Rattus norvegicus: one gene and its partners. The protein of the gene in region 1 binds, or shares a complex with, the protein of each later gene. Links are inferred from orthologs where the notes say so. Each region holds a gene or a part of one and is shown in the gene's direction. Other genes may lie near its edges.

Evidence for each region.
Region 2: the proteins of Tfdp1 (region 1) and E2f5 are in contact, whole or in part, in a crystal structure (PDB 5TUV), measured with the Homo sapiens proteins. The link is inferred for Rattus norvegicus from reciprocal best matches to the Homo sapiens genes TFDP1 and E2F5. Residues at the interface, in NP_009042.1 of Homo sapiens: Glu201, Cys202, Leu205, Glu208, Arg209, Arg212, Leu213, Arg215, Ile216, Lys219, Gln220, Leu223, Leu226, Ile227, Gln230, Phe233, Leu236, Val237, Arg239, Asn240, Arg241, Arg249, Pro253, Ser255, Val256, Ile257, His258, Leu259, Pro260, Phe261; in NP_001942.2 of Homo sapiens: Val126, Arg129, Leu130, Lys134, Glu136, Ile137, Leu140, Glu141, Glu144, Leu147, Asp148, Gln150, Lys151, Leu154, Gln155, Ser157, Ile158, Val161, Met162, Ile166, Asn167, Asn168, Arg169, Phe170, Ser171, Tyr172, Val173, Thr174, His175, Asp177.
Region 3: the proteins of Tfdp1 (region 1) and E2f1 are in contact, whole or in part, in a crystal structure (PDB 2AZE), measured with the Homo sapiens proteins. The link is inferred for Rattus norvegicus from reciprocal best matches to the Homo sapiens genes TFDP1 and E2F1. Residues at the interface, in NP_009042.1 of Homo sapiens: Glu201, Cys202, Leu205, Glu206, Glu208, Arg209, Arg212, Leu213, Arg215, Ile216, Lys219, Gln220, Gln222, Leu223, Leu226, Ile227, Gln229, Gln230, Phe233, Lys234, Leu236, Val237, Arg239, Asn240, Arg241, Glu244, Pro251, Ser255, Val256, Ile257; in NP_005216.1 of Homo sapiens: Arg202, Leu203, Leu206, Thr207, Asp209, Leu210, Leu213, Gln214, Ser216, Glu217, Leu220, Asp221, Leu223, Met224, Ile226, Cys227, Thr228, Gln230, Leu231, Leu234, Asp239, Ser240, Gln241, Arg242, Leu243, Ala244, Tyr245, Val246, Thr247, Cys248.
Region 4: Tfdp1 (region 1) and Mybl1 share a complex: the UniProt entries of both Homo sapiens proteins name them as parts of the DREAM complex. The link is inferred for Rattus norvegicus from reciprocal best matches to the Homo sapiens genes TFDP1 and MYBL1.
Region 5: Tfdp1 (region 1) and Rbl2 share a complex: the UniProt entries of both Homo sapiens proteins name them as parts of the DREAM complex. The link is inferred for Rattus norvegicus from reciprocal best matches to the Homo sapiens genes TFDP1 and RBL2.
Region 6: Tfdp1 (region 1) and E2f4 share a complex: the UniProt entries of both Homo sapiens proteins name them as parts of the DREAM complex. The link is inferred for Rattus norvegicus from reciprocal best matches to the Homo sapiens genes TFDP1 and E2F4.
Region 7: Tfdp1 (region 1) and Lin52 share a complex: the UniProt entries of both Homo sapiens proteins name them as parts of the DREAM complex. The link is inferred for Rattus norvegicus from reciprocal best matches to the Homo sapiens genes TFDP1 and LIN52.

What each region holds. Positions count from the first base shown.
Region 1 is NC_086034.1:82,900,367-82,904,597, reverse strand, and holds the start of Tfdp1 (transcription factor Dp-1), read left to right. Parts: upstream 1-1,431; 5' UTR 1,432-1,617; exon of another isoform or gene 1,618-2,240; intron 2,241-2,426; 5' UTR 2,427-2,489; coding exon 2,490-2,501; intron 2,502-4,231. UniProt on the Homo sapiens protein: Can stimulate E2F-dependent transcription.
Region 2 is NC_086020.1:88,731,344-88,735,608, reverse strand, and holds the start of E2f5 (transcription factor E2F5), read left to right. Parts: upstream 1-1,465; 5' UTR 1,466-1,686; coding exon 1,687-1,899; intron 1,900-4,140; exon of another isoform or gene 4,141-4,211; intron 4,212-4,265.
Region 3 is NC_086021.1:163,532,764-163,537,037, reverse strand, and holds the start of E2f1 (transcription factor E2F1), read left to right. Parts: upstream 1-1,474; 5' UTR 1,475-1,627; coding exon 1,628-1,882; intron 1,883-4,274. UniProt on the Homo sapiens protein: Transcription activator that binds DNA cooperatively with DP proteins through the E2 recognition site, 5'-TTTC[CG]CGC-3' found in the promoter region of a number of genes whose products are involved in cell cycle regulation or in DNA replication.
Region 4 is NC_086023.1:14,396,768-14,400,088, forward strand, and holds the end of Mybl1 (myb-related protein A), read left to right. Parts: intron 1-1,656; coding exon 1,657-1,785; 3' UTR 1,786-2,821; downstream 2,822-3,321. UniProt on the Homo sapiens protein: Transcription factor that specifically recognizes the sequence 5'-YAAC[GT]G-3'.
Region 5 is NC_086037.1:32,079,412-32,082,911, reverse strand, and holds part of Rbl2 (retinoblastoma-like protein 2), read left to right. Parts: intron 1-1,087; coding exon 1,088-1,248; intron 1,249-1,353; coding exon 1,354-1,418; intron 1,419-2,574; coding exon 2,575-2,761; intron 2,762-3,500. UniProt on the Homo sapiens protein: Key regulator of entry into cell division. Directly involved in heterochromatin formation by maintaining overall chromatin structure and, in particular, that of constitutive heterochromatin by stabilizing histone methylation.
Region 6 is NC_086037.1:50,087,335-50,089,782, forward strand, and holds part of E2f4 (transcription factor E2F4), read left to right. Parts: intron 1-355; coding exon 356-574; intron 575-2,448. UniProt on the Homo sapiens protein: Transcription activator that binds DNA cooperatively with DP proteins through the E2 recognition site, 5'-TTTC[CG]CGC-3' found in the promoter region of a number of genes whose products are involved in cell cycle regulation or in DNA replication.
Region 7 is NC_086024.1:109,828,764-109,833,048, forward strand, and holds the start of Lin52 (protein lin-52 homolog), read left to right. Parts: upstream 1-1,485; 5' UTR 1,486-1,492; coding exon of another isoform or gene 1,493-1,504; coding exon 1,505-1,523; intron 1,524-4,285. Other genes in the region: Aldh6a1 (methylmalonate-semialdehyde/malonate-semialdehyde dehydrogenase [acylating], mitochondrial precursor), read right to left, coding at 868-918.

The sequences.
Region 1 (4,231 bases):
ACTCTTCAGACTCCCCCTTGCTGCTGTCACTGCTCTGCTGATGCTCTGTGGTTTATCTCTTCATATTACCAGTCTAGCTTGTAAACCGTCACCTGAGAGGAGTTCCTATTGGATGAAAGACTCTCCCAGCTTACTGAAAAAGTTAGCCAAATAGCTTGTTTATATAGTCAGAAATGGGGTGTGGCAAGGATGTTTGCACCAATCACAGCCTTTCTGCTCAGCCATTACAGATGCTTCCCCCTCCACCCCACCCCCACCCCCTCCCATCCTGGGTGAAGATGGTTACTAGAGCTTACTAAAGCTTGTGATGGTAAGAGGTCTGGTGCAAGCTATTGAGATACTCATGCCTTGGGTATTGCCTTCTGGAACGGTAGCTGTGCTTTAGCAATAAGCTGCTGTGGTTACAGTGTTGCTTCCTCAAAGCAGCTGAGGAAGAGTTCTAAACAGGACAGCAGCTTGAGGACTGTTCAGTCAAATGCTAACTCGTCTGACCAAGGAAGCTAGGTAATAGAGAAAGATCTGTTTGGGAGTCAAATTTGGCTTCTCCACCCCTCAGAATAAAATTTGGTCGCTCACATTAACAGTTGTCTGATAGTACTGAACAGCGCTCTGGTCTTTAGTCCCATATGCTTGGGAAAAGTTGGGTCATTTTATCTGAACCACTTGGACTGATTTGCAAGCCACAGTCTATTCTTCTCCCAGGCTCTCCAGCTTTAGTCTTACACATACATACACACACACACACACACACACACACACACACACACACACACACCTGTCTTTCAGGCTGCTCCCTCTGACTGCCCAAGTTCAGGCCCTGTGGCTGTGGAGGTCAATAGTTGAGCAGAGGTGGGGGATCTTGTCTCTGCATTGTCCAATATGCATCCTAACAGCCTTTACTTTGTTCTGTATAAATGTACAAGACTCCTCCCCCTGTGGTGCACATGCAGGTACTTTAAAGCACGCTCAGAACTGGTCATTTTTTTCCCTTGTGTGTACACACTCACCTATTCTTTTCAGTGTGCAGGCATTAAACATAGGTATCCATATTTGTATGCACAGAGGGTTCTCTTCTATATATACGTCCAGGCATGCACACACACGACTCATACTCCATGAATACACACGTGTCTGTATAGCGAGACTATGGATATACACAGGTGTGCACACATCATCCTTTCCCTATGTGTACATGCAGGTATGGCACACACCACAGACTTTTCACCGTTGGCGCGCGTGGCACACACACATACACACAGAGGCAGACACGTGGCCCTCTTCTCCCTGCGCATGCACACAGACATGCATACAGTTGGCCCTTGGTGTACACACACAGAGGCGCGCACACACGTGGCCTCTCTCCGAGCGCACATGGAGGCGCGCGCAGCGCTTTTCAGCGTCGGCGGCCGCCACACGCGCACGCGCGCACAGGTCCCTCCCCTATCCCAGGGCGGGTAGCACCGGCGAGAGGCGCGGGAGATGAGCGGCGGGAGGAGGAGGAGGAGGAGGGCGCCGAAGGCGCGAAAAGGCGCGCAGGCGCGCTGCGCGGAGCGGGCCCGCCGCCGCCCACGTCACCGCGCCGCGCGCACGTCACGCCGGCCCGACGCTCGGCCCAGGGTGAGCCCGCGTCCCGGCGCCGCTGGCTCAGGGCAGGGACCGCCAGGGCCGGACCTCCGGGCCGGCGCCCCCGCGCCCCCGTCGTCCGCCCCGCGCGCCCCGCCGGCCAGCCAGGTGTGGCGGGGGCACCGGCCGGTCGCGGCGGGAGGGCGCGGGCTGGGCGCGCGGCCCCGTTCCCGCCCCAGCCCGGTTCCCGCGTCCGGTCGCATCCCGCCCGCCGCCCAGCCTCAGCCCGGAGTCGGCCTCGACGCGGCGTGGCGTGGGCGGCAGGCAGGGGTCCTGGCCACCCTCCGGCTCTGTCCGCGCCAGCGCGCGAGGCTGGTGGCCGGGCCTAGTGACAGGTGGGGCGGCCGGGCGGCCGGGAGCCCACCTGTCAGAGTGGTCGGCGGCACCTCGGGGTCTTGGGCAGCCCCGGGGCCTGCTGCAGCCCGGGCAGAACCACGCAGTGTCGTGTGCCTAAGTGGGGGGCCTTGTGACTCGGTGGGGCCTGTGGTCAGGCGGGGCCCGCGTGCCCAGGTGGGGTGAGCCTGACGGCTGCGCCTCGCTCCGCCAAGGGGCCGGGGTCTGGCCCCTCTGCGGGTGGGAGCTGCTGGTGCCCGCAGGGAGCATTTCCATTTGGAGAGGTGACTTAAAATCCCTGTGTGGGACCTGCTTGGCTAGCTCTCCTGTTGGGATTGTGCAAGAAAGGCCCCTGCTGCCTGGAGGCCTGCCTCGTGCTGGTGGGGAGATGTTTCCTTTGAAATGCGATGTGCGTTAAACTTCTTTTTTTTTCATTCTCATTCATTACTCGTCCCCTTCCTTTTTACCAGATAAGTCCGGTTTCTTCTGTGGAGGGTACGCAGTTAAAGCCTTGATTTCCTGGATCTGGTAACATGGCAAAAGATGTAAGTATGAGTTCTGCATGCTGCAGACATGTTAGCATAGCTCGCTGCAGTTCTCTCCCTTTATTTGAGAGTGGCCATACCTGCGTGGCAGTGGTTTGCTCAGACATTTTACAGGCAGGAGCTGGGATGGAGGTGAGGGGTGGCCAGTCAGTAGGTGGGTGCCTCCCCTCCGCACAAATGTTCTTTGTCATCTGAAGCCTGGCACGTTTTTTTTTTTTTTTTTCTTTGTGGTTAAGATGATGATGTCTGGATTTTTCTTTAATCTATCTAAACCGCTTGAATACAAAATTTGTGTTTGAATGCATCTCCCAGTTGAAATGAACGTGTGAGGGGGGTATTTTGCTAGTGGGTTTCCACGAAGGAGAGCTGTCAGCATGCAACTTACGATGCATTATGCATGAAACTTAACTTGTTTTATGTAGTATGTAAGACCGTAATTCCACTTTGATGGGTTGAATCCCAACTACTTGTTTGGGCACATTTTTCTCTCAGAAAGATGACGTTTGGTGGTTAATGAAACACGGAAACGCTGGTTGGTTAAGCTTCGTATTTACTACAAAGCTACTGAGCATTTGAAATTTCTTTTTTGAAATGGGTACTGACAGTTAGGCTTTTAGGGGGCAAAAATACAGTCTGTGATTTTGGTCACATACATGTTCGCAGTATTACTTTATAACTCCCTCCAACACTGATCGTGCCTGTGCCAGTGTTTCAGCATTCACTGTCCTTTGACTATTAGATGAGTGTAATTTTCTGTGCAGCCCTGAAAATGCAGGCAGATAATACCACATCAGCTAGACTTGTACCCAAGTGCACTGAAACTGTGGCGCAGGTACCGAGTCTTGTCCTGACTTAGAGGCCCAAGGATTTAGTCATGCCTAGTGGCCCACCTGGATCAGACGGTGTCCGTCTTATGGTCATCAAGCACTGGACCTGCTCTTGGGAGTCGAGTTCCACCCTGAGAGACCGTGTGTAGGTCACCTGAAGTCACAGCTGTATGTGGCGTGGGGCTCGATTTCGTTATGTCTGTTGTTTGCCTGCCTCCACGTCCTGACTCTTCCCCCCGTGTGTGCCTAAGGAGAGACGTGCCGCTCAGTGCGTGCCCACAAAGTAGCTAGGTCTGGTAAACGGTGTGTAAGCAGGGCACTGGCTCCCGTGCCTTCGTTGAGACCCCATGGCCTGGTGTGGTTTCGGGGATCATTGCATCTTCTTCAGTGATCTTCAGTGAGTCAGCATGCTCCAAGTCCTGTCACCTCAGTTTTGCATCATGCACTCCTGTGTGCTGTGTCCCTGGGGAAGGGGTGGGTGGGTGGGTAGACACCATGATGGCAAGTGGTCAGGATGTCCTATCCAGTGGAGAGTGTGAGGCCAGCTGGTTTGGGGTTAGCCATTGTGGTATGGTGAGGCCAGTGCTGTGACTGGGTAAGAGCGCTGCTGCTTTGTCCCTCCACAAGTGCGCACAGACCTGGGCAGAGGCGAAGCGGCTCCCCCTGTTCTCTGGCTGGAAGTGGGGGTTGCAGGGTTGGGCCTTCCCTGTGCTTTTTCAGTAGGATGCAGTATTGGGGTTTGGAAAGGGACTTTGTAACCTGTGCTGAAGGGTAGGAAAGAGGCACCACTGGAGCTGTGTAAGCACTTGATGCTTAAGACGAACTCTGGCTGTAAAGTGCACTGTCGACATGGGGCTCGGAAGGCCATGACGCTGGCGAGAACAGAGGGGCAAAAGTCACGCT
Region 2 (4,265 bases), on another chromosome or scaffold:
TAGCAAGTGCAAGGCCCTGGGTTCGGTCCCCAGCTCTGGGGAAAAAAAAAAAAAAAAAAAAGAAATCAATGTAGTGGTTTCTCTGAAGATTGAGAATCAGTCTACCTCAAGACCAACCTATACCACTCCTGGTACATATCCAAAGAAAATTACAACCTATTACAAGGACATTTGATCACATATGTTCATAGCAGCTTTATTCATAATAGCCAGAAACTGGAAACAACCTGCATGTCCCTCAACCGAACAATGGATTTAAAAATAAGCGGTACATGCAATTTGCTAATGAATTGATGAAACTCAAAAACATCATCCTGAGTGAGATAACCCAAACTCAGAAAGATAAACATGGTACATACTCACTTATAAGTGGATAGTAGCTGTAAAATAAAAGATCATCATGCTATAGTCCAAAGACCCAGAAAGACTAAATAATACGAAGGGCTAAAGGGAGAACATAAGGAAAGGCTCAGTGGAACAGAATTTGCAGGTGGATTGGGGGCAGGTGGGGATTTTAAGTGTTGCAGCTTTGAAGAAAAAATGCTTCCCCTAAAGAAGTTTTGTTCCGGTGTTCTGGAAAATTTTGGTTTTCAGATTTACTAGTTAATGCTGTCCATTTCCCCTCTCGATCCCCCCTCTACTCTTAATTTGGGCATTCTTGCATGTAGGATATGTCTTCATTAATTCCTGCCAAAAAATGTTTGTAGTCACCTACTATTTGTTCAGTGTGAACGATAGTCAACCGGTGCGAAAACCAAGTTGTTTAAGTTTTTTTAAATTATTTTATTTACTTACATTCCAAATGTTGCGCCCCTTCTAAGTACCCCCTCCAAAAGTTCTTCACCCCATCCCCCACTTCCCTTTGTCTCTGAGAGGGTGCTCCCCACCTACCCCCACCCACCTCATGCACCCAAGTTGTTGAAGTTTTTAATCTTGATTCTCAAGTTTGCAAGTAAAAAACAAAATGTGGGAACACATTTTCATTTTCTCCTCTCAGATCTGTGATCTTACTATACATCCGTAGTTTCCTATATCACTAAAGTACAATATGTTGAGAGTGTCCCAATAATACAAGTATTGGGCAAAAATATAACTTTTGTAAAGAATGCTACTTAAAAGCAGGTAAGGCAAAAGTTGGAGTTGGGGGGGGGGGGGGAGGACGGAGTCTACCACCTTCACTTTCAAGGCTCGAGTCCTTCTGTGTGTGCAGAAAAGTCTTTGGAAAGGACTGAAGATCAGAGTCCAAAAGCCTTCGGGGACGCCGCGTTCTTCTATTGATGCGACGAGCCTTAGAATACTTGCACCTGATTTGATGCAAAAGAGACATGCTCGAGAGCTCCAGGCTTAGACTGCATGCTGGTCCTAAGCAGGACTATAGACCGTCCTGAGCACCGCTCGCCCGAGGGAACGCGACTGCCCCGCCCCTCCGCGGAGAGTACGTTACTAGGCAACGCCGCGCGGCGTCACTTCCTGCCATTTAAACTCAGGCCCACCCTCGCGGCACTGGCCGCTCGCTAGAGTCCGCGCGCTCTGTAGTGCGGCGCGTTCTGTGGTACCGCGCGCGAGCTTCGCGGCTCCAGGGACTGGTGAACGCGGGGAGCGCCGCGGGCCGGAGCGGAGTCCGCGCACCTCCTCTGCCGGCGGCCGAGGGGTTCCCGGGCAGCGGACGTCAGGGCCGCGGCGGTGATGGCGGCGGCGGAGCCCACGAGCTCTGCTCAGCCCACGCCGCAGGCCCAGGCCCAGCCGCCGCCGCCGCCGCCGCATGGGGCGCCTTCTTCCCATCAGTCCGCGGCGCTCGCGGGGGGCAGCAGCCGGCACGAGAAGAGCCTGGGGTTGCTCACCACCAAGTTCGTGTCGTTGCTGCAGGAGGCGCAGGACGGCGTCCTGGATCTCAAAGCGGTGAGCGGTGGGCGGGGATGGGGATGGGGAGGGCGAGGCCTGAGGGAGCTGGGTCTAACGCTCACACGCCGGCCGAGACTCGGGATCCGGAGGTACCTAGGACGTGGAGGGGCCGGGGTGGATGCGGGGGCCCCCACCTACCGGCCACCGCGCGGCCCTGGCCACAAAGAAGCGCTCCGAGAGCCCAGGAATTCGCGCTCTGCTCTAGGCTCACTTAGGGTTGGTTTGCTGTTGGAAACTGGTGTCTTAATGGAGCGCTCTGCGGGACTTCGTGCCTGTTTTGAAGAACTTTCATGCCAGTTTTTCAGAATGAAAGAGGGAAAGAGAAAACTTAACCCACCTCCGCTAAAATAGTTTTTAGACGGGGAAATTTTTCATCGATGCTTAGGAAGTGAGATTGGATTTGTTGACTTAATTTAGAATCTTTCTACTTTTTAGACCTGAGATTTGCGATCACACGGAGAGGGGTCCGTTTTGTGACTTTCAGACTAATGGGTGGAATTACTTAGTCAACTTTATCTGGTTTTTATAAGGATGTTTGCTTCGTTCTTTGCTATGGTTCGGATTTTTTCAAACAACAACAACGTGCATTTAAAGCTGTTCAGTCATAGTGATTTAACCGTTCCTGGCAAGACTTGGAAGGATTCCACAGCGCAGGGAGGGGGAAACAATATGGGATCGTGCGAATTAAAATTCAGCCAGTACACGGAGGTTCAGAAAGAGCCAATACTTTACAAATAAATAAATTTGCTAGTTTAAAATCACAGAGGATTTTATGACTCTGTGATTCTCTTATGACTCCTCTACCTGGCTGTCTGAGAAAACTCCTCACAGCATCTAGAGACTTGAGAATCATACCTTACCTTCCTGGCTTGAAACTGTTACCATCCTCAAAACAGTGGCCAAGACATTGGAAATAAGAGTCTGAGCTTGAGAAGCCTGCCTTCCAGAACTCTACTGCTGAGTGTCCTGTTCGTGGCCCAGTGGGGGACGCTGGCTTGTTGGCATTTGGATTCCCCTCCCAACCGCCCACCCTTTTCCTGGGTGTAGATGCCAGTTGGTGTCCGTTCTTACTTGAAAACATCATTTGTGGGACTTTTTTCCACTTTTGAAAATTTCTTGTATTCTCCTCCACTCCGACCTCTTCCTCTACTTAAAAGGGCTTTAATGGACATCTATAGGACTCAAATTGTAATGAATTGAAATGGTATGGTTTCACTGGCATTAATGAAGTCAGCAGAGAAACACCTGATGTTACAAAACACCCATTGAAATCTGCTGTTTAAAGTTAAATACAGCTGTACTGGATGACTGCATGAAAAAAGCCAGAGAATTTTGGTGCTTTCCAAGTAAAAATGGGGTTTGATGGTTTGTCCTGAAACATGCTCAAACCTCAGAAAATAATGAACTCGGCCCCTTCACATGTATGGCAGCAGGTTCTGATATTTAAGGGTCTTTGTTTCTGTTATCTGGATCTGTCCTAAAGATTCAAAGATTTCTGTAGTCATAAGTAAATAATTACTTAAAATAATAAGTAATGACTTACAGAGACCCATGTACCATTCTTTTTGCTAGGTTAAAAAAAGAAACATTTTACCTATAAATACTTCTACTTTTTATGTATATAAATACATATAAAATTTTATGTATCAAAATGACTTACACTGAAGTATTCCTAGTGATGTTTCTCATAATACATCATTGTGAAATATTAAGACATTCTAATAATACATGTTAAAGATTGTCCTACACTTAGAATAAATTTCTAAGTGGAAAATTTAAAACATGCACTTTATCTTTTTAAATAGAGAATCTTTAATTTTGTGAAATCACAAATATAGAAATGTATTACTTTTCTCATCAGATACCCTGAGTGGCCATAAAATATTCAAGACTATAGATGGTAACCCTAATATTCCCACCCGAATGTGTGCCTGTTACACTAAACTTAGGAAAGTTCTGGGTTAGGTCTGCCAAATAAGTTTGAATGTTTGAAACTGGACTGTTACTTTCTGTGCCTTACTGCTGCCTTTCAGAACTAGTAAGTCCTTGAAAATAAACTTAAGTTTTCATGTGTCTCTGTTCTTTATGGATTCCTTTTTTGTAACGAAAGGTGCATAATTTTACTCCCTGAGAGTAAAATAACATGTTAGGCAATGGGCATCTACCTGAAAAGGAGAGAGAGAACACTAATGGAAGATTCTGTAGAAACAGATTAAACTAGTTTTTATTTTTCTGTAGCTTAATCACTGAACTGTTAAGGAGTGTGAGTGTCTGTTGCTCTGAAAATTCCTGTTCTGTTCACTTTGCAGGTGAGTTTCTCTGTTTCATTGGCCATTTTAATGCCATCTTGAACTTTGCAAGCA
Region 3 (4,274 bases), on another chromosome or scaffold:
ACAGCCAGAGCCAGACAATGAGACCATGCCTCGAAAAAACAAAGAAACAAACTACCCCCCCCAAAAAAAACAAAAAAAAAGGGGGGCGGGGGCGGCCTGGGATTGATTCTAAATTGACCAAGGTTGGGTGGTTCAAAGTTAACCGATGCGTGGAAGATAAAGTAGTATGAGGTGATAGTGAAAGTACCCGGGCTTGAGAGCTCCTTGTAGCCTACACTGGACTTGGGGACTTGAATATTGTCAGCTACTCTTTTCTTTTTTTTTTTTTTTTTGGTTTTTTTTTTTTTTTTTTTTTTTTTCCGGAGCTGGGGACCGAACCCAGGGCCTTGAGCTTCCTAGGTAAGGGCTCTACCACTGAGCTAAATCCCCAGCCCCTGTCAGCTACTCTTCTTGTGGTCATCCCCACCCGCAAGGGCAGGAAGTATGTAGGTCTTGTTAAACCTTTCGTGTTTCGATTCCCAGTATTGGCAAGATGCCTGTCAGAGAGGACCACAATGCTGATCAGATGGGCTGACCTGAGCAATCAGAAATGCTGATGGAGGACCTCAGGATTAAAGGATCCCTCCATATGCACCCTCCCCACCCCTGCACCGCCCTCTGTGAGGCCTAACGTGGAGTTACTTAGTTCAATCTCTTCACATTGTAAGCATCTGCTGCCTCTCGGTTCCCTTTTTTCCTTTTCACTAAGTCAGGAGTCAAGGTCTGGGTTGAGTATGGGACAATAAACAGGCTCTCAGGCGTTTGTGATTTTTTTGAGACAGGGTCTCACTGTGTAGTCCTGAATGGCCTGAACTTGGAAAATCCGCCCGCCTCTGCCTCCCAAGTGCTGGGATTAAAGACAGGTGCCATTGTGGACTGACCAAACGAATGAACGATAACTGGGCGTTGGCTACTAAAGGAATTTCAGTAAAATGAGACTGAGATCAAAGCCACACATCCCTACTCATTTCCTGGCACCCCTCTTGGGCTTGGCTTCTGGGTGACAGGGAAGAACCCATGATGTGAACTAATGGAATAAGTGGGTCTTAAGACCGGAGATGTGGCTGAAGTGAACTTTGGAGGTGAGCCTGAGCGTGCAGAAGAAGCAGTTTCTGGACTGTAAACTGAGGGGGTGGAGACCACAGGTTGAGAGTTTAGGGGCTCATGCGGCATGTGGAGACTGCGGGACGTGCAGAACCAAGTACGAAGTTTGTTGCCTTCGCCAGACCCCGCCACCCATCGAGTGGGCGGTGAAGGGGGCGGGGTCCATTGCCCACGCCCCCTGCAGGGCACAGCGAGAGGCAGAAGGGAGAAGGCGCCCGGCACCGCCCGGACAAAGCCTGCGCGCGCCCCGCCCCGCGATTGGCCACCCCGCCCCTGGTCCCACCCTCCGTCGCCTGCCCCGCACGCTGCAACCAATGTCTGCTACCGAAGCCGACTTCGTCACAGCCACGCAGGCCAATGGAGGAGGCGTTCGGCGGCGCGTGGCTCTTTCGCGGCAAAAAGGATTTGGCGCGTAAAAGTGGCCCGGACTTTGCAGGCAGCGGCGGCCGGGGCGGAGCGGGATCGAGCCCTCGCCGCGGCCTGCCGTCATGGGCCCGCGCCGCCGCCGCCGCCTGCCTCCCGGGCCACGCGGGCCGTGAGTGCCATGGCCGTAGCCCCCGCGGGCGGCCAGCACGCGCCGGCGCTGGAGGCCCTGCTCGGGGCGGGCGCGCTGCGGCTGCTCGACTCCTCGCAGATCGTCATCATCTCCACCGCGCCCGATGTCGGCGCCCCGCAGGTCCCCACCGGCCCCGCCGCGCCGCCCGCTGGCCCTCGAGATCCTGACGTGCTGCTCTTCGCAACGCCGCAGGCGCCCCGACCCGCGCCTAGTGCACCGCGCCCGGCTCTCGGCCGCCCGCCGGTACGGACCCTAGGCGCGGGCGGGGGAGGGGCGGGCTGCAGCGCTGGGCGGTGCGGAGTCTGGGCTGGGCCTCGGGGCTCCGCCCCGGGGCGCGCGCTGACTGACTGCCTTGCCCTGTCTGTTTGCTGCGCCTTGCTCTGGGCCTCAGCGTCTTCACCAGAGCGGCAGGTTTATTAATGATAATGGCTCACGTGTATTCAGCTGGTGCTTGCTTATTGCACGCCCAGGCTTTGGCACACTTGAAGTCGGCCAAAATTCTCAACTCTGTTGTGAGCTGGGTGTTGTCACGTGCCCATCTGCCAGAGGGAGGAACTGAGGCCCAGAGACAGGGAAGTGCTTCACGCAGCTGCAGATGGTGGGGCTGGTATTTGAACTGATGGCGGCTGGCTTGCTGCAGAACCTATGGCTAGTTAGTGCGCACAGTTGCTTGATGGAGATGAAAGAGGGTGACTGTTGGAGACATCCTCGAGAGACCCTCCTTCGTGGCTCTGCCAGGTGCAGGCCTGGCCTTCCAGGCCTCTGGGGATAGGCCTCTTGATTGGGAGGCCTTCTCTGCAGGGGCGGGGTGCTGGGCCAGCTGCTGCAACCCTTCCTCTGCCTGTCCTTCCATCTGCCACCCTTCCAGCCCCTGGTTGCCATGGAACTTTATTAATCAGGCGGACAGACCCCTGAGACTCTGGAAGACTGGGTGGGCTGGGCCCCTGAGAAGGGGCCTCCAGTTCCTGGAGAGAGAAGACGTGGGAGGGAGATCCCTGGATAAAGTCTTTTCCTGATCCTAAGTAGCAAGACCAGTTTAGGCTGGGGGCCTAGAAAAGGCAGCGGAAGTGGAGAGTGGAACTTGGATCTAAGCAGGGGCCAGCTCAGCCAGTGGGCCACCAACTTTATTGTAGGGGTGGAGCAAGCAGGAGGTGTTCACAGCAGGGGGCTTGGAGCAAGCGGGAGGGGCCAGACCCAATACCGGAGTAGAAACTGTTCAACTCCTGGTGGGGGTGCGGGTGGCAGCTGGTCCCAGAGGCATCTTAGAGAAGGCCCATACCCCCTTTGGCCCAGTGCCCAGTGCTGCCTTCCTTCCGGAATCACCAAGATGCTAATAACAATAACAATAGCAACCACCATTGTTTTGAGGACGTTTTGGGTGCCAGGCTCTGTGCTAAGCACTTTACCCACTTAACCCTGTGGACAGCCTTACTTTTTCATCCTTCCATAGATGAGGAGGCTGAAGCCCACAAATGATGGAACTTCTTAATCATTCTTCTAGGGAGTGGTATTTCCTGATTGTTAAAGCCCTTTCCTCCCACTGAGGAGGCCGGCCAGTATTTGGTGGGTCAGCTGGCTTGCCTTCCCTCCACTCCACGGGCCTGTACCAGTAGGTAGAAGGTTGGGCCCTGGGCAGATATTCTACATTTGACTAAACATTGCATTCACTCAAGTTGTGGAGTTCGTGAGTCCCCATTATGTGCTAGGTGCAGAGGTACTTAAGGATCCCCTTCCCCCACGGTACTTAAGGCCCAGCAAACATTTTCTGTGGGAGAGGTTGACACCATCCTGGAGCCAAAGGCCAGGAATGCAAATCTGGATTTTGGCCTCTACTGACTTTGCTCTGGAATTTGGGGTGGGGGGGCAGTCCTTGAAATAAGCTACAGGCTTGGCTTCCACCCAGTGAGCACTTGCTGGGTGCTTCCTGTGTACCTCTCTACACCTCTGCAATTCAGACATTCTTCCTGCCCTACCTACCTTTACCTTGTCTGTGTGTGTGTGTGTGTGTGTGTGTGTGTGTGTGTGTGTGTTTATAGATCCTATCGGGGTGTATTGACTAGGGAGAAGCAGAGACAGGAGAATCCACATGTTCAAGGCCAGCCAGGGTTACCTAGAGTGAAACTGTACCTTAAAGGAAGTTGGTCTGGAGAGATGGTTTAGCCATTGAAAGCACTTGCTATTCTATATGACAACTTAAGTTTGATCACAGCCCAACACTGAGGTCACAGATGACCAACTCCAGTTTCGAGGGGTTTGATATTGTCTTCTCCTGTCCTTGGGTACCCATGTTCATATATAGTCATACGGACACAAAGTTCTTTTTAAAAAGAAAACAATTTAAAAAGCAAATTAGTTAAATAAAAATAAATTAAAACACCAACAGCCTATTTTGGTTAACTGACATCTTATAATCCAAGCAGGCAAGAATGAGGATACTGAGTCTTGAGTTCAAAGCCAGCCTGCACTACAAAGACCCTGTTTCAAAATGGTAACAGCAAGAAGCTGATGTTTCCATTATAATGTAGTACTTGTTTACTGTGGACAGTATGTAGTACCATACATTAAGTCTGTAAAAGACAGGCTTGGGGTTGGGGATTTAGCTCAGTGGTAGAGCGCTTGCCTAGCAAGCACAAGG
Region 4 (3,321 bases), on another chromosome or scaffold:
AGTTTCTTCAGTGATTTTGTTATTGTTTAGTCAATGATCACTTTAAACTTACTGATCACAGTTATACATTTTATTTTAAAGTTAATTTGACAAGAAAAATAAAAAATGATTATTATGTCACTGCAAGCAGGTTTGGGTTTGAGAGAGGCTCATTCATCAGTGCACACAGCATCTACACAATTGGAGTTGTAGCCAGAGATGTTTTTGGCTAGTTTGTTTGTTTGTTGTTTTGGGTTTTTTGCTCATTTTTATTGTTCTTTTGAGACAGGATCTCACCTCATTATGTAGCTGGACTTGAACATATAGTCCTGCAGCTTCAGCTTCCTAAATCCTGGGGTAGAGACTTTGGCCCTTTGGTGATTCCCTAATTGTGTCTACGTGTGTGTGCGCGTGTGTGTGTGTGTGCACGGGTGTATGTATAAATATTTAAATCCACTTCTGGTAATTCTTCACCTGTAAAATAAAAATATCTAGCCACATTTGTTCTTCTGAAATGGTAAGTAATTGGAAGCATTTCAGCATGATTTTGTTTGTATAATGGCTCCCAATAAACTTTGTGGATTAAAGCTATAATACAAAAAAACTCCTCCTATTCCTGTGTGGCCAGTAAATAGATGAAAATGAAGGCTGGGGAAATTCTTATTCTGTGATTTTAGGAGTTTGCCTGACAGGAAGATTGGAGAAGAAGATTTCTTCTTTATGCCGCACTGTCTGCAGAGTAAACTCCTTGACATTCCAGCGTTCCTTGAGAACGTCTTTGGCAATCAGATACAGTGGCTACTTGTCTGTGTTGAGCTGTGGCTTTCCCAGTGACACAATGCATGCCCTTAGTTGTTCAAAAATGTTTTTAATTCCCAGCGTTTAATTAACTTGGAGCTTCTTGGGAAATTTCATTATGTAGTAGCTCTTACATATACTATAGAAACCTTTATAAGGAAGAAAATAAAGAGGGTGCACTCCTGGTTCACATTTGACCGCATACCTTCCCTTTAAGTCTCTTTTCTTGGAACTGGGGTCCAAACCTGGGCTCCTACATGCTAGACAAATACTCTAGCAATGAGCTGCATCTCCAGCTCCTCTCTTTCAAATGTTTGTAAAAATAGATGACAAGAAGGGATGACTTTCCCATTTGATTTGTGGGGAGTTGTTGGTAACAAAACTATTATACTGTCCTTATAGGCCAGTGAACAATATAATTATAATAATTACATAAAACTGATCATAAATATTTTAGAATCTGTTTAAAAATATAGCATACCATTTAAGATACAGTGTTATAAAAACATTTTGAAGCAATTCCTTATAAAATTCCTAGACAAATAATTGATTTTTAAAAGTCTAGTTGTATGGATTGGTGATGTGGTTTAGTGGATTAAGGTGTTTGTTGCCAATCCTGATGGCCTGAGTTTGGTTCTGCAGCCCACATGGTAGAGTGAGAGGACTAATTCTTGAGAGTTGTCCTTTGACTTCCACATGTGTTGTGTGGCATGATGCACGTGCACGCACACACACATACACATGCACACACACACATACACATGCACACACACACATACACATACATGTACACACACACACACACTCTCTGTAATTATGAAGTATTTTGGGTATTTAATTTTACTAATTTTCACATCACTGTTGATGTTTCCTTTATAGTCAAATTGTGAATGGGAAACAGTGGTATACGGGAAGACAGAAGACCAACTCATCATGACTGAACAAGCAAGAAGATACCTGAGCACTTACACAGCTCCCAGCAGCACATCGAGAGCTCTGATACTCTAACTGTTACTGAAGCTGATGAAAGGCCCCACCCCCTACTGTGCTTATGCTAAATTAGGTTGCAATGAAATTTGTCTCAATTAATTCTTTTAAAGGTTTTAATACATCCCTAAAATGGTTCGCGGTTTTTTCTATATTGAACAGGCAAAAACCTAATAAGCCACTTAACGTAAGGGGTAGGCAAATTTATTATAAATATATTTTTAAGAAATGAGAGTTTTAAAGCTTGTTTTTAAAGAACAAAGTGGGAAAATAAGGATGTTCATGGGTATTCCAAAGTCAATTCTCACGTTAATTTCTTTCCAGGATATATGTCGCTACTTTCTCAAGGCCGTAGTCTGTTATAAACAAGTTAGGTGTGCGTGGCCTCTGAAAGTCTGTGTTTAGGAAGCACAGAGGCTTTATGAAGTACTTTTGCATGTGTGCTGATTTACTTAGAGAAACACAGTGGGAAGGAGCCTCAAGGAAGCTAGAAGTTGCACTACTAATTTTGGTATTTTTCAGAAACAATGAAATTAACTACAGTGTTAAGGATATTTATTTGTGCATAGTACTAAAAAAGCATTGAAAAAAAGGCTTTTTCTTACTAGTAAAGAGTCAGTATTTCTTCATAAGTCTCAGAAGAGCTGAGAATTTTGTTGAATGTATTGTACAGTATGTAGGAGCAAGAAAACTTTGTAAATTGGAAAGATGTCTGTTTTTATAACTTATTTTCATTTTTAAAGCTTAAATGTAGATATTTATATATACAGGGTGTCTAGAAGCCAGTGTTGTTTCTTGCCATTACAGCTAACATAGTAAAGAATAACTTTGACTTTCAAGTATGAAATAGTTAAGTTATAGCTTCAAAGAATACAATATCTATACTGTATGTCACATCTACCTAAATATTGCACTATATCCTTTAAATCATGTTGGTTATAAAGTAGTTCTAAAATGTACTAAATAATAATTTAATATTTTCTTTTTAAATTATATTGGAGGGTCATATAAATTAATCTGGTGATTTGTATATGTGTTTGAAATTTTCATTTTGTTTAAAAAACAATATGGTACCTTGCTCCCTAAAACAGTCTGCACTTAGAAGTTTATTGTATTTACTCAATGTTTCAGAAGTAGAAAATATTATCTTTTATTTATACAAATATTTTGTCCTTTTATAAATGTTTTGTGTTTCCAGGTTACAATAGTTGCTTCAGTTGCCTGTTTAGGTGTTTGCACTTACTTTATCTCTTTTTGAAAGAATGTCTTTGCTTATGTGGTAGAGATTTATGTAATTTTTTGAGACGTATAATGGTGTGCTGTCAACCTAAACACTGACAGGCAGATAGAATTGTACACTGTAGTTTGAATTATTTATAATTGACACACTCTCTCCCTCTCCACTCCTGAAGTATGCTGCTATAGAAAGTAGCAGAGTCGGCTTGCTGCTATGAGAGATGGAAAGAGCAACCACCACTTGCACTGTGTGAAAAGATAAGCAAATGATGGCCAGTTCTCAAGTTAACTAATGGATTCAACGATTCCCAAGCAGGTTCT
Region 5 (3,500 bases), on another chromosome or scaffold:
GTGGGACATGTTGGCCTGAGAGGGAGCTTGTGACAGACTGCTTGGCTGGCGCCAAGTCTAATCTTCAGGACTGTAGACCAAACAAGAGAGCAGAAAAATAAAGTTTTAGATTTCACCAAAGAATTGTTGGTTCTGCACGTTCATCTAATAAAGATGGTGTAGATAATCCAAAATTCAAAAGATGAAACGCTAAATCCTGGCCAAGGGTTTTAGACAGGGAGCCCTTGACCTCTGCCCCATTCTTCTTCATTCTGTCCTCTTACCTTTTGTTCTGGGGACTGAACACATGGTACCCTGTCCTGTGCCACATCTGTGGCTTCCAACTGATATTTTTATTTGTTCTGTTTCTGTTTCCTTTCATTCTCTTTGATTTTTTTAAATGTTCTTATGAAAGAGCACACTATAAATTACTATAAGTATGTCTAATATGATCAAGTCAAAGTTGATCATCTGTGAGCTGTGTCTTTTTAAAAACTGTCACGTTTTAATGTAGGCAGAAGGGGAAGGCCTGGGCTGTACAGTATACATGTACAGGTGAGAGGACGCTTGGGGACTCTGCCCTCTCCTTCACAGGGTGAGTCTTAGAGATCAAACAGGTTGTCAGGCTTGGAAGCAGATGTGTCCACCTGCTGAGCCCTCTCAGCAGACAGAGATGGGTAATGCTTGCCTGTTTGTTTGAGGCAGGGTTTCTGCAGCTCTGCTCGTTGTGGAACTCGCTATGACTCATCTTTTGAGTCGTGATACACTTTCCCTCCACCACAATTTTAAAAGATATTTACTTAATTTATAGTGTATGCAGTCCTTTCTCTATGTGAGATGGGACCTTATGGCTCAGGCCATCCTAATTCATGACAGTCCTCCTGAGCACTGGGCTGTAGGTTGAGGAAGTGTGAGCCTCTTGGTTTGTGTGTATCAGGGATGCTGCATGCCCATCTCCCACTCTATCTCTCGCCATCTTCTGAGTTATATGTAAACTAGTTACACGTTTGATCGTATCCTGAGCAGACTAACATGTGTGTTTCAGTGTATTGAATGCTAGCTAGTTGGTGCTGACCAGTGACTCCATTTTGTGACTTTATACATGTAGGCGTGTCCGAGGACGGCCACCCCAGGGACTCTCACCCGTCCTCTGATCCACCGTGTGTCATTGAGAAGCTCTGCTCCTTACACGACGGCCTAGTGCTGGAGGCAAAGGGGATAAAGCAGCATTTCTGGAAACCCTACATTAGGAAGCTTTTTGAAAAGAAGGTCCGTACATAACGGCACAGCGCTGTTTTCTAACGGCACACGGTTGTTGTTCTCAGGTTAAAGACTTGGCCGCATGTAACCTAGGGACCTTCCTTTTCATCGTAGCTCCTCAGGGGGAAGGAAGAAAATCTCACTGGCTTCCTGGAGCCCGGGAACTTCGCAGAGAGCTTGTGAGTACTTATGCTGCAGTGTTTTTGAGACAGGGTTTCGATCTGCAGTCCTGGCTGTTCTGGAATTTGCTCTGTAGACCAGGTTGGGCTCCAGCTCAGAGATGCACCTGCCTCTGCCTCCCCAGGCCTGGCTTGCTCTGGTAATTCAAGTTCCCTGTGAGGTGACCGAGTGCTCAGTGTTTGTACTGTTCGTACTCGGGACATTTTTAATGCTTTAGGGTAGAACTCATAAAACCCACAACAGGTCTGGAAACTTCTATAAGTGCGTCTTTAAGCTGAGTGAAACTTGTTTTCGTTCTGCTCAAAGTTTTTATTACTCAAGAATTTGGATTATAAATTTCAAAATTAAGAAATGCTCTTGTGGGCTGGAGAGATGGCTCAGAGGTTAGGAGCCCTGACTGCTCTTCCAGAGGACCTGAGTTCAATTCCCAGCAACCACATGGTGGCTCACAACCATCTGTAATGGGATCTGATGCCCTCTGCTGGTGTGTCTGAAGACAGCTGCAGTGTACTCATATATATAAAATAAATAGATATTTTTTCAAAAGAAGACGAAAGAGATTATGCTTTTGCACCTAGCCATCAGGACACACGGCACTTGGGACATGTGGCAGGGTGACTGTGAGGTGGAGGCTATTTCGTCTGAAAAGAAAAAGTTAAGAAAAGGGAAAGAAGACATGTAGTTGGCTCTTTAGAGGTGATAGATGTGGCCATACCTGGTCTTTCGAGGTCCAAGAGCGGCTGAGGAGGGTCCTGCTTCATCTACCAGTTGCATGTCACTCAGGACCACAACTGTCACTCAGGACCACAGCTGTCACTCAGGACCACAGCTGTCACTCAGGACCACAGCTGTCACTCAGGACCACAGCTGTTTCTTCTTCAGTTTAGCATGTCGAATGATTATTAATTATTATTAGTGTAATTATTATCAGCCTATTAGAGGCAGGTTTGCTTAGCTCCTACCTTGACGCACTGTTGAAAATATATTCAGTGTGTGCCCGTCACACAGATTAAAAGCAAGCTACTTCTTCTCTTCAGTTTTTGTAACGAGCAATTGTTCTACAGAAATAAATGCCTTTGAGACATTTACCAGGTCTTGTAGTAAACTGCCGAGTGGTCTGGCACACAAGCTGAAGGCGGTCCTGTTTCTCCACAGTAAGGCTGTTAATAAGGCGTATGAAGAATACGTGTTAGCCACTGGGAGTCTGGATGAGCGGATATTTCTTGGCGAGGATGCGGAGGAGGAAGTTGGAACTCTCTCACGGTGTGTAAGTGCTGCCTCGGGCACAGAGAGTGCCGAACGAACGCAGATGAGAGACATCTTGCAGCAGCATCTTGACAAGGTGGGTCAAGCCAAGCAGACAATAGCTGAGCCTTGTGTGATGTACTGACCATGTTTCCAAGTCCTGGGAGAAATAGGGCTGGGGTGAGAGGAAAACGGGTTTCTGTTGTCTTTTCATAATCCCGTTTGTATTTATGTTTTAAATGTTTAAAAGAAAACTCAGGTTATCGTGCTGATTTATTTTTCATTTAGTACCAACTTTCAAAGGTTTTAGTTAGGTCTGAAAAGAAAACTGACTGTTTATCTAAACAGATGCACCCTGCTGGTAGTCTTTACTTTTGAAAAACTGGGCTGTAGTGTATTCTCTGCATAGTGGTCACGGAGACATTTAGAAAATATTAATTAACCCTAATTACAGCCTGTGGATCTACAGCCAATCTTTAAGAAAATTCTGTTGCTCCCCAGCTCCGAAAAAAAAAAGAACCAAAAAAAAAAAAAAAAAAAAGAAAATTCTGTTGCACTGAAACCAATTTTTAGGCTGATGGAGACCAGTAATTCTGATTTTCACTTCCCTGTATCTGAGAAGCTTTGAACGTGACACTAGCCTTTCTCTTCTCTCTCCTCTCTTCTCCTCTCTCTCCTCTCTTCTCTCTCCTCTCCTCTCCCTCCCTCTCTCCCTCCCTTTCTTTTCTTTCTTAACACAGGGATCTCATAACGCATCTCAGGTAAACCTCAAATTTATAGCAATCATGCCTCAGCTCCCCAAGTGATGTGGTTATAGGCAGGATTCACCACCCTCA
Region 6 (2,448 bases), on another chromosome or scaffold:
GATTTGAACTCAGGTCAGGTTTGTCCATGAGTGTCTTAATTCACGAGGATCTCACTTGCCTGAATATGCCCTTTCTAACAAGGAAGCTTTGACTATATAGGCAGCATTAGTAGGGTAGTTTATCCCAGATTGGACAGTGTCTGATGGATCCTGGCAACCCCATGAGTCTCCCTCCTCCAGGACATGTGCTCTATCTTTAATGATGTTTTCTAGTGCTTCTTGGTAACTAGTGGTGACTAAGTCTCCTTGGATTTGGCTACCAGCACTGTGGTCATCCTGGTCATAGGATCTAGCCTATGGCAGGTGTAGGGTCTATTTCCTGACTCTGTGTTTGGGTTTGGGGATGTGGTTGCAGTGAGTGGTAGCCCTGGAACTGAGAACAAGGGCAGTGGTGAACTCAGTTCACTCCCACTGGGCCTGACAGCACTGGACACTCGACCTCTGCAGTCCTCTGCACTACTGGATAGTAGCAGCAGCAGCAGCAGCAGTAGCAGCAGCAGCAGCAGCAGCAGCAGTTCATCTGGACCCAACCCTTCTACCTCCTTTGAGCCCATCAAGGCAGACCCCACAGGCGGTGAGTACTTACTGAGGGGTGGGGGCCAGCAAGGAGAGTCTTGGAGCTGGCAGTTCCTTTCCTGCTAACCTCTGCTCTCTGCCAGCCAGACAAGGATGCCTAATCTCCAGGTCAGTGCCTGTGCCTCTTGCCCGTTTCTGGGACTTCATCCCCCCTCCTGCCACCACTTGGAGCATCACTAAGCCTCACTAATTGAGATTTGCTGCTCTTCGTACTCACCTCACCATTCTGTTTTCCTTTCTACGTATGAATGCCTTTAAAAAGTAATCCTTGGTCACCCGTGTCTGTCAGCTAATCCTCCACCACAGGGCTGTAGCTGTGCTGTTCTTGGTGTAGTACCTGGCCCAGCAGGTTTCTAAGAGTCTAGGCCTGGTGCTTTCTTGGTCTCTTCTGATGCTCTTTCCTCTGTCTTCACTGTCAGCTCTTGGCTTTTCTGCCTCACTGGCATCTGATACTTCCTTAAACATTGGTACTTACCATTTTATATCTGGGGTGGGCCTCAGCTCTAGGGAGCTGATTTTGAGTTTCGGCCTCTACATAGTCTAGATCTTTTACCCAGTCTCCTATACACCTGCCATAGACGACTTGCATATCTGGTGGACACCTCAACTGAACTTAACCATCCTGCTTCCAGTTTGCCTTTCAAGTTCTTTGTGGACTCTTATCAGCTAGCTCTAATCACCAACAGGCTTGAGATACCTCTGTATCATCCCAGTTCTGCTACCCACCTTACATGGGTTAGGTAAAGTTTGTGAAGTCTGTATGGGATTAAAAGATGCGTGCCACAGCCAGCTCTCTATATTTTGACCATTTACAAAATGACCCTCTTTGCCCTCCTAGTACCTTCTCATCCCTCTTACATCTTCAGCACACCAAAAACTATACACCATTTTAATTTTAGATTTATAGTAATCTTTTAGAACATTTTATCTATATCTTATTTATCTACTGGTAATTTCAGATATCTATACAATGTGGGGGTGTTTTTTTTTTTGTTTTTGTTTTTTGTTTTGTCCTTTTTAAGACCGGGTTTCTATGTAGCTGTCCCAGAACTTACTCTGTAGACGAGGCTGGCCTCTGCCTCCTGCCGTGTGGGATTAAAGAATGTATGCCACAATCAGCTCTTTTTGACCATTTACAAAATGACCCCCTTTGCCCTCCTAGTACCTTCTCTTCCATTTTCATGTTCTCTTCATTCTAATTAGCACTCCATGTATGCACAGATCCAAAGAAAAGTGACTGCCTCTTTTCCAGCTAGTTGGATGGCTTGGTCTTGTATAGATACCATAGATGCTTGTGAGTTCACAGTACAATGGCCATGTTGTATCCAAAAGACAGTATTTCACAACACTCTTCCCATCCTATGGTTTGTACAATTTTTTTTTCTATGTTGTCATTTAAATCAAAGAACCAAAACAAACAGCCAAGTTTGCCACCTCCCCATCTATAATGGCTGCGTCAAAACACTGTAAAAAGGAAACAGATTGGAATGTCTGGTGAGTTCTGACTCAGGAAGCAGAACATCAGAATGGCCTGTTGTGAGACTTTACTTATGCTTCCTCAACAAACTGGCCTCTTGGTGATCTCTCTTCTTCAGTTCTACCCATGACTGCCATAGTAGGAGGCCTGGGATCAGAACCCACAGGCCACTGTACAATATTTCTGTATACCCTCTTTAGTTATATTTCCTGAACCTTGGGCTGAGCACTCAACCTAATCTCAGCAGTTTATCAGGAATTTCTGCATTGACTCCTGCCATTTTCTCTAAGCAACATGTAAGCATGAAAATTTAGGAGGCAGTTTGATAAGCATATTAATTAGCAAGGCAACAGTACTAAGTTCTCCCCTAGGATCAACGATCTCTCTAGCTATGG
Region 7 (4,285 bases), on another chromosome or scaffold:
CTACGATGCAAACACATGGGAAAGGCTATAATCAAAGCCGGGACCACAGGCCTGAGGCTTCTGTAGCTCTACAACTTCCCTTGGGCTGGCTTCTTTCTGTGCGGTTAAAATCGTAGCCTAGAAGAGTGGAGGGTGTGTTGGCACTTGAGAACTGACTCTGGGAACGTGTCTTCCTAGGGTCTCATCTTCTACCACCTGTTTGGGGAATGTTTAGTAGCGTTAGCAAAACAATAACGCCCTTATTTATCTCGAAAGTTTAACTTCGCTGAGAAAGTTTAACTTGGCCCAGAGCTTGGGAAAAAAACACTAAGGGCCAGAATAGTTGGTAAACGCTAGCAAATGGCTGCCTTTGATGTGAAAAGCCAGGGTACATGTCTAGAGATTCAAAGTTTCTTCTCTGACCCTTGTTCCATGTTCCTACCCCCTCTTACCTCACATAGAGGCTGGATGGGGGAAGGGACGCTCCTGGCAAAGGAAAGTATTCTATAAACAGTAACCAAAAGGAGTTTCTGGGGCCCAGAGGTGGCTGGCACAGAGGTGAAAGGGAGTCCGTGGGAGGAACCAATGAGAGAAAGCAAGCCCGCGGGTGATAGCAAAGACTGAGCTGGACTGAAGGTGGGTGGGTCAGAGCTAGAAAAGGAAAGGATCAGGAGTAAAAGTGGGGTGGGCCAGGCGTGACCGTCCGGGGCTGGATTCCCGGGCCAGGCAATACGGAGTGACAGCTCAAACACACGGGTCTGGTGGAACACAAGGGTCTGCAAAGAAGGGTCTGGGCCAAGAAATCTGTCCAGCAGAAGCATGGTTTAGAGACCGGGCGGAAAGGACCCATTTCTAACGTCATGGTCCCTCGTCGCCACCCTCACTCGCCTGCAGGATCCGGGACCGCACTGCTGCTGCTGCCGCCACTGCCGCCGCCATGGCTCACCAGACTCTGCCCAGCTCCCCGCGCCTCCGCTGCCAGTGCCTCCCTAGAAGCTACAGCGCTAAGCTACGCCCCGAACACAACCTAGCCTCTCCATTGGAGGGAAGGGGCACTTTTCATAACCAATCATGTGTCAGGATTCTTGACTCCACCCATCACTCCCAGCCTTGGGGATAGGTGATTGGTCAAAGGCGGAAGCGTTTTCCTCTTCTCTGACTTCAGCCTATTTTTGTTGGCGGAGATAGGGAGACGCCCCCTAGACTTGGTACTGCATATTAAGCACACGGGGAAGACGCCCCCTAACCGAGAACTCCGATTGGCTATAGGTAGGCCCTCAAGGTCCCGCCCCTTTGCTAAGGAAAGTAAATAAAGTCCTTGAAGAATTTTGCCTGAGTTTCACCTTAACTACCACTCGCGGGTAGGGCTGCTGTCTAGGGTGGGACTAGGCAAATATTACCCTATGAGATAGGGAAACGAGACCGGGCTGTGAGTTAAGGATAGGTTACCCCTGTAAGGGGCGTGGCTTGCGGATCCTCGCTTTCCCGCCGACGGTTGGCCACGTCACGTGACATGGGCTGGAAGATGGCGTCTCCCACAGACGGTAAGAGCCGGCTTGGAAATTGTTGGCCTGTAGTCTCATTATTTGCTCCTCTGGGAACTTCCACAGCCTTCACGCTTACGCTTTTTTTCTTGGGCCCCTCTTCCTTCTCTCCCACTTCTCTTCTTTGGGCTGTGTCGGCTTTTCAGCTAGCAGGTGCCTGGTACCAGGTCTCCCCGCTGTGTACTAGGTAGGTGAAGGAGGCCACCAACCGGTGAGACCCTATCCGGGAAAAGGACAGAGGTCGCTCCGGCCCATCGGTGATGCTGAGGGGAAAGGGAGGGAACTTTCTTTTTGAACAGGCCCATTGGAGTGTTGGTTCTGTTCTCAGTAGAGCTGAGACGAGTCTCTCAAGCTCTATAGCTTTGAGTGGTGACTGACATGAGGTCTAGGGTTCATCCCTGTACCAAGCCGGGAGAGAAGGATGCTTGTCCCCTCAGTTCAGGACCGTTGCCTTGGCAGCAGGGAACCGGGGACCTGGTTTCCTTACCCTGATTCCCGAGGGAATGAAAATTAGCCTTGTTAATGTAGTTTCGCACGCTTCTCAACCCTTAAACCATCACTCCCTCTACTTCATGTGTTGTTTCCTTAGACTGAGGGCAGGAACAATTCTGCTTGTATTTCGTCTCAGGTGGTAAATAGGTGTTTTCGTTATACCCGTATGCTTTTGCTCGCGGTTCTGCTTTAGCATTTGGAATTCTCTTCTGTCATTACTCAGTATCTCAGTATATTCCTTGTCTATTAACTTTGCCCGGGCCACACCCAATTATAAATTCCAAGTCTGTCTTATTTCATACGTTTAATCCTAGGTTCTAGAATAATGCCTGTAAAGCATTTGGCCATAAATAAGTTAACGTTCATCCAAAAGTGAAACTGGCCTTGGTATGTGACCCCTAATTTTAGCTACTTGGTAGATTGAGGCAGGAGGATTGTTGCTTCAGGCTTGTCTAGGCTGCAGAATGAATTGTAGGCAAAATGTGTCTCAAATACAAAGTTGGGGTTTAGTTGGCAGTTGTTGGGTTTTGTTTTATTTTATTTTTTAACCCTAGACAAGGTTTCTCTGTGTAGTCCTGGCACTTGCTCTTTATACAAAGCTGGCCTCGAACTCAGAGCTCCTCCTATCTCTGCCTCCCAAATGCTAGAGTTAAAGGCACAAACCACCACCACCCACCTTCAAATAAAAAGTTTTCTTTTAAAAAGTAAGGGAAGAGTGGCTGGAGAGATGGCTCAGCGGTTAAGAGCACTGACTGCTCTTTCAGAGGTCCTGAGTTCAATTTCCAGTAACCACATGGTGGCTCCCAACCATCTGTAATGAAATCTGGTGCCCTCTTCTGGTGTGCGGGGGTACATGCAGGCAGAACAGTGTATAGGTAATAAATCTTTTTAAAAATGTGAGGATACAGGGGGCTGGAGAGATAGCTCTCAGTGGTTAAGAGTACCTGGTGCTTTTGCAAAAGACCTGGATTCTTTTTTTTTTTTTTAAGGTTTATTTATCTAATGTATATGAGTACTTTATACACCGTAGCTGTCCTCAGACACACCAGAAGAGGGCTCCCATTACAGATGGTTGTGAGCCACCATGTAGTTGCTGGGAATTGAACTCAGGACCTCTGGAAGAGCAGCCAGTGCTCTAAACCACTGAGCTATATCTCTCTAGCCCCAAGACCTGGATTCTATTCCCAGTATCTACATGGCAACTCACAACTGTGACTCTGACCTCCATGGACATCAGGTATGCATGTGCTCCACATATATACTGTGCAGACAAACAGTCATACACATAAATAAATCTAAAAATGAAAAATAAAAAGTAGGGATGTAGTTCAGTGGTAGAGAGCTTGCTTATCATGAACAAGGCAATAGGTTCAGTCTTTAGTACTAAAAAGCATGACTAGATTATATTAAAAATAATGTTACCAGATCTCCCTCCTTTCTTCCTTCTTTCCTTTTTTGAGATAGGGTCTGACTGTATGGCCCAGATTGGCTTCAGACTCACCATCTTCTTGCTTTCCTACCTGTGCTTCCAGTATGCTGGGATTAAAAGTGTACCACTCGGTAGGGCACTTGCCTAGCAAGCGCAAGGCCCTGGGTTCGGTCCCCAGCTCTGAAAAAAAGAAAAAAAAGAAAAAAAAATGTACCACTATGCCTGGCCTCTTACTTGATTTCGAAGTTTCAGGTTTAACTGCATTTTAAGTTTTGAACACATTCACATACCTTAAGGAACTGTGTTCATAATAAAAGAGATTCTCTAGCATGTGTGATTTTTTTTTTCCCCCTAAAACATCCTTTTCTTACTAGCAAAAAAAAAAGTGTTGGTAGGATTTTTGTCGGTTTTTTTTGTTTTGTTTTGTTTTGTTTTTTTTAAATTGAGGTTCATCTTGGTGTCTGTGGAGGTCTACTGAGAACAAGACTTCTAAAAGGTAGGGTCTGGAAGGATGTGGTGCAAGGCCAGTTTTGCTAGATGTGTGAGGTCTCTAGAATCAAAGAGAGCATATAGCTCTTCTTCAAATCCAGGGTGGTTTTATCTGAGATGATACTAAATTCGACTAAGGCAGGAGATGTGCTTATGTGTATAAAAAGTTCACACAGTGACTCCCAGAGGCAAAACTAAACAAGCAGAGTAATCTGGGGAGAAGTAAGTGGGGCCTGTAGAAATGGTGGCAGCCATTGTGTAAATGCCAGTGGATGCAGAATTTATGGAATGCTAGACCCTACACAAATCTAAACTAACGAAAAGTAAACAATTCAAAGAACTGAGGTTTGTG